Linked DNA regions of Saccharomyces cerevisiae S288C. The protein of the gene in region 2 interacts with the protein of the main gene of each other region in a pairwise test. Each region holds a gene or a part of one and is shown on either strand. Other genes may lie near its edges. The genes, in order: SLM2 and CNA1.

What was found.
Region 1: the proteins of CNA1 (region 2) and SLM2 interact in a two-hybrid assay, tested with the Saccharomyces cerevisiae proteins (3 studies listed by BioGRID).

The regions. Positions count from the first base shown.
Region 1 is NC_001146.8:539,122-543,725, forward strand, and holds SLM2 (phosphatidylinositol 4,5-bisphosphate-binding protein), read right to left. Parts: upstream 2,761-4,604; coding exon 790-2,760; downstream 1-789. Other genes in the region: alpha-1,2-mannosyltransferase ALG11, read left to right, coding at 1-698; YNL046W (uncharacterized protein), read left to right, coding at 3,183-3,701; LAP2 (bifunctional aminopeptidase/epoxide hydrolase), read left to right, coding at 3,842-4,604. UniProt on the Saccharomyces cerevisiae protein: Together with SLM1, effector of the TORC2- and calcineurin-signaling pathways. Phosphorylated and activated by TORC2 under favorable growth conditions. Mediates actin polarization via inhibition of calcineurin-dependent transcription.
Region 2 is NC_001144.5:1,003,847-1,007,710, forward strand, and holds CNA1 (calcineurin catalytic subunit A), read right to left. Parts: upstream 2,163-3,864; coding exon 501-2,162; downstream 1-500. Other genes in the region: IMP dehydrogenase IMD3, read left to right, coding at 1-282; TSR2 (Tsr2p), read left to right, coding at 2,532-3,149; ECM30 (Ecm30p), read right to left, coding at 3,575-3,864. UniProt on the Saccharomyces cerevisiae protein: Calcium-dependent, calmodulin-stimulated protein phosphatase. This subunit may have a role in the calmodulin activation of calcineurin.

The DNA.
Region 1 (4,604 bases), on a different chromosome or scaffold from region 2:
CTGAGAAACGTCATAAGTTAATCATTGAGTCCTTTGCAACTTTCTTGAAAAATTTACCGGATTCTGTATCGCCAATTAAATTGATAATGGCGGGGTCCACTAGATCCAAGCAAGATGAAAATTATGTTAAAAGTTTACAAGACTGGTCAGAAAATGTATTAAAAATTCCTAAACATTTGATATCATTCGAAAAAAATCTGCCCTTCGATAAGATTGAAATATTACTAAACAAATCTACTTTCGGTGTTAATGCCATGTGGAATGAGCACTTTGGAATTGCAGTTGTAGAGTATATGGCTTCCGGTTTGATCCCCATAGTTCATGCCTCGGCGGGCCCATTGTTAGATATAGTTACTCCATGGGATGCCAACGGGAATATCGGAAAAGCTCCACCACAATGGGAGTTACAAAAGAAATATTTTGCAAAACTCGAAGATGATGGTGAAACTACTGGATTTTTCTTTAAAGAGCCGAGTGATCCTGATTATAACACAACCAAAGATCCTCTGAGATACCCTAATTTGTCCGACCTTTTCTTACAAATTACGAAACTGGACTATGACTGCCTAAGGGTGATGGGCGCAAGAAACCAGCAGTATTCATTGTATAAATTCTCTGATTTGAAGTTTGATAAAGATTGGGAAAACTTTGTACTGAATCCTATTTGTAAATTATTAGAAGAGGAGGAAAGGGGCTGATGTTTTTTGAAAATAGAAGCCTTGTTTATGAGAAAACTTATACATAATATTACATACAAACTAGAGCATTACTATATAATTAACTTACTTGTCACAGCTGATTGCTTTTTCTAGGGGAATCTACATTTTCAATGTAAAATTCAGGAACCCTATTCTGAATTTGTGAATCATTCGTTTCCGGTATCGATGACGTGGTGTTAGTGATTGTCAAATTGTCTAATTTTGGAATGGAATTCAAGGGAAAATTGCTACTACTCACATCATCGTATCTCGTATGTTGCTCATTAGTTACCTGGGGGGTCACGCTCTCCGTGGTGTTTTCATTACTCTTGGCTTTTTCTTTAGACAGTTTGGCAACTTTACTCACATATTTGCATTTGTCGTCATAGTTGGGCAAACTTGATAAGGCTTTGATATTTCCAAACCATTCTATCATATCGTCATAAGAGTCTACTTTGAATACCCAGTTGTGACCCCTATGTATTAGTCCGTTAGAATTCGTACGCAATATAAACTTGTTCTTGCCCTGCTCTGAGTTGGATTTCGTCTTTTTGGAATGCTCAGTGACAGTACATTCCACTAATGGTATTGACATTAACGGTGTGGAAAATTTATGCTTATCTGGTGTCTTAAATTCATGTAAAAAGCTTGGAGTGAGGACATAAAACCCACGTGAGTATGACTTTAAAAATTTTGATCTTTTCTCCAGAAACCCAGATTTAACTTCAAAAGTAAAAGGATCGTTTTGATTGCTATACGAGATCTCTTTAAACCTCCTCATGGGTAAATTTGGAGGCACAAAATTGGAAATATTCCTTAGAATGAAACTATCCCATTCAAGATTCGTGTTTTTGTTCAGTATCGTGGAATCTAATTTAGAGATAACTGAGTCAAATACAACTTGGGCTTCTTTGCCAAGAATTCTAGCGTAGCTGGTCAATCCGTTCTGTATTTCCATTACAATAACACTTTCTAACTGGGCCCCTGAATTCTGCAAGTTATCGAATGCCTCGTGCAAATAATTTTCTTCCACCAACTGTCTTTTGATTTGCTTTTCCAATTGCAATTTTATCAAAAATGGGTCACTCTTTGGTGTACCTAATTTACATTCTTTTAATGATTCATTAAAAAGCTTCATCAAGTGTTTAGTTTGCTGAAGCTCTTTGTTACAGGAATTTTTAAAATCAGATTGCAAAGCCTTAATTTCTTTAATCTTGACTAGTAAATCTCTTCTCAAATCCTCTAGCCTGGGTATAATTTCACTGGTCAACTCCTTGGAACTTTTCGATGCCAAAGAGGCCAGATTATCATGATACTTGGTCAGCATCGTGGGCAAATCTTGAACGGATCCACTTCCTAAGGGCAGAAAAAATTTCTGCATGGACTTGTCTTCATTAGAGACCGGTTGATATTGGTTTTCAATGCTGAAAAAGGGGAACTGCACAGCATGGGACAACCTCAGTTGCTGTCTAACTATTTCGTCCTGTATTGAGGCGGTCTCAGAGAGATATACCAAGATGGCACGAATAACATTTCTCCAGGCAGAAAACCTAGCAGACAAGACATCAGTGGGCTGCGCAGAAGTCGGTATCAGTATCGCCAGAGGGGACCTAGGATCGTTTTGGTTAGAATCATACTGCTTCTGGTGGCTATGTAAAGACATTTTTGGCAGCGTTAGCATGGAAGGGTCAGTGAAGGAACCAACATTATTGATATTGTTATTATTAATATTATTATTTTGTGATGATGGAATATTATTAGAGTTCAAAGAGTGCGTCGTATTGGTGCCAGCCGCAGCATCGACTATCGAATTTTGCCGATCGTGATCATATACGTTCAACTGAGCCGGGATAGTGGGATCGGAAGTCACAGCGTCGATAGGGTAAGGTATAGGATTGCGTTGCGCAAGCGACGAGGGTAGTGACAGGGGTATGTTCTGGCCTTTTTGTTGCTGCTGTTGATAGGCGGGATTAAAATGTTCTGACCTCATTCTGCCTTCCAGTTGTTGATATTGACTTCTGAGGTCAAGAGAGGCTCTTGCACTGTTCCGTTGGTAAGACATGGTGCAATGGACGGCTGGGTAAAGCGTATAACGCTCTCCTAAACCTTTGCTTGCGCGGTCATCTTCTCATGTAGTAGGTTGCATCGCCTTTTGATTAAAGAATGCGGCATGACCCGGAAAAAAGAGGCAGGTATTGGCTAATGACTACTACCATTATGAGTTTTTACCAGTATCAGCGCCATCATTAGGAGGATATATTAGCATTGGTGGACGTAAGAGCTCCTAAATATACAAGCATCGCCGTGATGTGTTATATATTGCAGCTTTATCTTGCTGGAGTGTCTACCGTATTTACTTCTACTTTTGGCATTTTTTTCGCCAATGCTGGCTCGAACAAGAAACTGCCTGCCATTTGAATTATTCATATATAAATACACTAATCATACGTGAGCATAGTGTGACAATTTCGGCGCAAGATATTAATGGAGCACGTATCAAAGAGGTCAATTGGGCAATTCTTTAAGAGGAAAACTTCAACTGTAGATGGAAGCAAATCACAGAAATGCGGAACCACTAACCAACTGCGGAAGCTGCTGCATAAAAGAAGGGTACAGAAGCAGGCAGTGCCGGTTGAATCCCAGTACAGAATTCCGGGTGATTTTAGGGATAATCAAAGCGTGAGAGTCAAAAACTCTATGTACAACAGCTCACCGTCAGTAACGCCATCTACGCATCATATCAATGAAAGGTATGTTCGCTATGACATCAACACAAGGCCTTTGGTTGTTGTGCTCGCGATCTCAATTGTATTTTTTGGCTGTCTCCTGGTCCTCAAGGACATCATCATCCAGTCATCAGAAAACATCCTGAGTGTTTCCAAATGGAAAATCATAGGGGCCTCCTTCATGGGTACGCCCTACACAGGTCTTCTCACGGGGCTCGTTGGCCCTCTCCTGTCACCATTTTCGGCTGTTTCGTCGTGGCTTTCATTCATCTTTTGACACAATGCGTCTTCAGTTTCCGGGGGCATTGCGTATGGAAAATCATGTCACTTTTTTTCTTCCACTTTTTCGTTTGACTTATATAAACGCACTTTAGTATAGTTTGCTTTATGTATTAGGTTATCTTGGTGTTCTAATTGATGTTCTTGCTTCCATTTGTCATTCGTCATTCCAGCTCTATTTACCTGCCCACGCTTCGATTTCGAGGTTTACTTACTGTAATCTCAAGAAACATACACATTTCCACCCCTCATAAAATGTTGCCTCTTTCAATTGAGCAGAGAAGACCTTCCCGCTCCCCCGAATACGATCAGTCTACTTTATCAAATTATAAGGACTTCGCAGTTCTTCACACCGATTTAAACCTGTCTGTTTCCTTCGAAAAGTCAGCCATTTCAGGGAGCGTTACATTCCAATTGAAAAAACTGCACGAAGGTAAAAATAAATCGGATGAATTACATCTGGATACATCCTATTTGGATGTCCAGGAGGTTCATATTGATGGTTCCAAGGCAGATTTTCAAATTGAGCAAAGAAAGGAGCCATTGGGCTCCAGGTTAGTCATCAATAACGCTTCTTGCAACGATAACTTTACCTTGAATATTCAATTTCGTACGACTGACAAGTGCACCGCTTTGCAATGGTTGAACAGCAAGCAAACCAAGGGCGGTAAACCGTACGTGTTTTCACAGTTGGAAGCTATTCATGCGAGGTCTTTGTTCCCCTGCTTTGATACTCCCTCTGTGAAGTCTACTTTCACTGCATCTATCGAGTCCCCACTACCAGTGGTTTTTTCAGGCATCAGGATTGAAGATACAAGCAAGGATACTAATATTTACAGATTTGAACAGAAAGTCCCTATCCCAGCCTACCTGATCGGTATTGCTTCCGGTGATTTGTCAA
Region 2 (3,864 bases):
GGTAATGCATCTACCTCCCGTTACTTTTCCGAATCAGACAGTGTTTTGGTCGCACAAGGTGTCTCCGGTGCTGTCGTTGACAAAGGTTCTATCAAGAAATTTATTCCATATTTGTACAACGGTTTACAACATTCTTGTCAAGACATTGGTTACAAGTCCCTAACTTTATTAAAGGAAAATGTCCAAAGCGGTAAAGTTAGATTTGAATTTAGAACCGCTTCTGCTCAACTAGAAGGTGGTGTTCATAACTTACATTCTTACGAAAAGCGTTTACATAACTAATTGGTAACTAGGGTTCATTAATAATAAAATAAAACTAAAAAATATGTGTTTATATTTATTCTGCTCGCAGTTAAGTATGGAAATCAAGAAATAGACTGGAAATGATCTATATTTTCTTCGTATTTTGTTAGTTCATATTATCTCTTGCGGATCGTGACAGTAGCACAAGAATTCGATGTTGCATCTCATAGGAATAAAAAAGAATAAAATGAGATTTATCACAGTTGTGGCTTTTTCTCCGCTCCCTTTAATATTTTTTCGTAGTATTTAATCTTCTCTTGTTCAACCTCCGATAAAGATGGTGGTAATTTTTCATTAATAAGGTCTTCCTTTCTAGCCTTTTCAAAAGTGCTTAGCGTTTCATTCAAACCTTCAGTCCCACGAGCTAGAGCACCACGAGGTAAGACACCGGCATTCATAGTTTTCAAATATTCCACTTTTTCGCTCTCTTCTCTTAGCACCGAAAACATTCTTGAAACTTTAGCAATAGCTAATATCTTATTTCTCAAAGCCTTTCTTCGGGTTTCATCTTCTAATATCGCTGATGACGCCTTTTCATCAGATGGGGTGCCGGTCTCCTTAGTTGCGTTTGCTCTTGCCTTTACAGTCTCCTCCGCAGCTTTGGGTTCCGATTCTGGGTCAAGTTCCTGCTCACTACATATGTTTAATATAGACACTAACATGCTAGTAACTTTTTCGCCAACAAAAGGTAGTGACCAGGTGAAAACATCCATAAAATCAGGCAACCAGTAAGGGTGCGGAGACATGTGAAACTGCCTGATGTTCATGACGTTTTCTTCATATTTTAACACAGCAGCTTTATTATGATATGTGTCCAGGTAGTTTGGCGCACTGAACATGGTTATTAAGCTCGGGAAGCCTGTTACTTTATTGTTTTTATACATTCTGTACCCAGCATCCTGTGCTTCGTGTGCTCTAATAATAGATAACAAACCATTTGCCTTCAAAAACTTGCATGATGCTTTAAAAGTGAAGGCGAAAGAGCAACCCCTCAAACTGTTAGGTACGAATTCATCCTCGCTCTGATCAAATTCGCTACCATCTCTTGCATCATCATAATTTTCGACAGGATCGGCCCATAGTAGGTCACACATGAGACCACGAGATGGGATTTCTCGAAATCTATTAATTTTATTAACATCCTCTACTGATTTTAACTCTGGAGAGATACCACCATGCACACAAAAATATTGTCCGTTCATTAAAGCTGCTAATGGTAAGACATTGAATGATCTGCAGCAAGCATCGTAAACTTCCATATCGTATTTGTGCAACATCTCATTCTTAAAAGTAAAATAAGAGGTCAAGTGCTTACACTCATGGTTACCTCTTAGCATCCAAAATCTCCCTAAATTATTCAACTTCAAGGAGTACAAATAAATCAGACACTCAAAAGAGAATGCACCTCTATCAACATAATCCCCCAAGAATAAATAGTCGATTTCGGCGGGGTCACCGCCAACTTCAAACAGTTTCAATAAATCATAATACTGCCCGTGAATATCACCACATATAGTAATTGGCGCTTTGAGTTTTAGTAGATTGGGTTCTTTACTCAATGCTACAGTTGACATATTTAAGATTTTTATGGCCTGTTCCTTAGAAAGTCGACCCTCATGAAAGAAATGCTCTCTTAAAAAGGAATGATTAGGTAATCCCGTCTTGGAGTCGAATACTTCCTCATCACTTGGTATCTTTCCTGTTATGGCAGGTACAGAAGCGATAGGTCGGTCCTTAGTAGAAATTACTTTACCGTTTTCTAATTCGTATTTTGTTAAATCTTTTTTCCGGTCAACCTTTATGTAAGAGTCATTAGGTTTAATGATTTTGATGCGTGAAGAATTCAAGTCTTTCGACATTGGCGTTGAGAGTGTTTTATGGCAGCTGAGCTAATACGTCAAAAAAAAAAGAATCTAAAAAAACTTTTCTTTGAATAATACCTTTAATAAAGCAAATATTAAAGGCTTTGCTTCGTTCTTTTATAATAATGCCTCTTGATTCAAAAACATTAAAGGATTTATACATTTTTCCCTTTTGTTTCCCAGTAGTACGTTCTTTTTCAGAATTGGAAAATTCATGTTTCAAGAGGCGATGACATGAAAAATTTTGAAATAGATATAGATGAATATCAAAATGATTCAAACAGTTTGTATTTATTGCAACAGGAAGAAAGGTGGAGTCCAAAGAAATCTGCGAAAAATTTTTATAGTGATAATCCTTACGGAACAATGAGCACACAATATATTGATGAGACAGCATTTGTTCAGGCTGAGCAAGGTAAAACCAATCTAATGTTCTCTGACGAAAAGCAACAGGCACGTTTTGAGCTCGGTGTTTCCATGGTTATTTATAAGTGGGATGCGTTGGATGTTGCCGTAGAAAACAGTTGGGGTGGTCCAGACTCAGCTGAGAAGAGAGACTGGATTACAGGGATTGTAGTAGACCTTTTCAAAAATGAAAAAGTTGTTGACGCCGCTTTAATCGAAGAAACGTTACTTTATGCAATGATAGATGAATTTGAAACTAATGTTGAAGACGACTCGGCTTTACCGATTGCCGTGGAGGTCATCAACATATATAACGACTGTTTCAATTTAAATTATAATAAGGTAGAAAAATTGTATTTGGAATGGCAAGAAAAGCAGAGAACTAAAAAATCAAAAAGAGTTGTGCATATTGAGGGTGATGATGATGAAGACGATGAAGATGTAGAGGACTATGATGACGAAGATGAAGATGAAGAGATGGACGAGGTTGTACCTGACTTAGTATCGTCTAAACCTGAACCAATTGTTGACGAAGACGGTTTTGAATTGGTTCAACCAAAAGGAAGAAGAAAGCACTAGTATCTTCAAAATCTGTATATTATAATTGATAGTGCGCTGCTTTTTTGCACTTCCAGTAAGAAATAGCAACAAAATTAGATAAATCTCGGTGGAGTTATCCAAAATATGTAATATATATCAAGAAAGTTACGTATTAAACATTGGACTTCTAGAGGAGATCTTCAATATAGATTTAAAAGGTGGGCAATGCATCGCTACGTGAAGATTTTTACTTTTCTTCAACATGTGTATTTTTTATGTTTCATATTTTTATATTTTGTGTTTGCTAAGGTCTAATCGTTCAGCTAAGTTAAAGCTAAGTATAAGAAGCAAAAAATACTAAATTATACTAAATTATAAATTTTCGTACATAAATAATCATGAGGTAGATGTTTAAATATGTAAATAGTTTCTTTTTTCTTCTTTGTGATTGTCAAAATTTGTGTCTATCTATACAACCCTCTAGAGGTATATCTTAACTGTGTATTATCATCAAATTCGTTATTATTATAATTGTCATTATCGCTATTAATGAATTTAAATTTCTTGAAAAAAGAAGATGTCATTTCCAGAAATGAAAAAGATTCTTTTCTGAAGTTTGCGATCTTAAATAGTCGGATGTCGGTTCCAACCCAAATGTTATTTTCAATTATGTTGTTTACAACGCCGGGACTAATTTCTTCTTCAAACATATAACTATTCAAATTATCTGTAATGATTGACGTGCTGACATTTG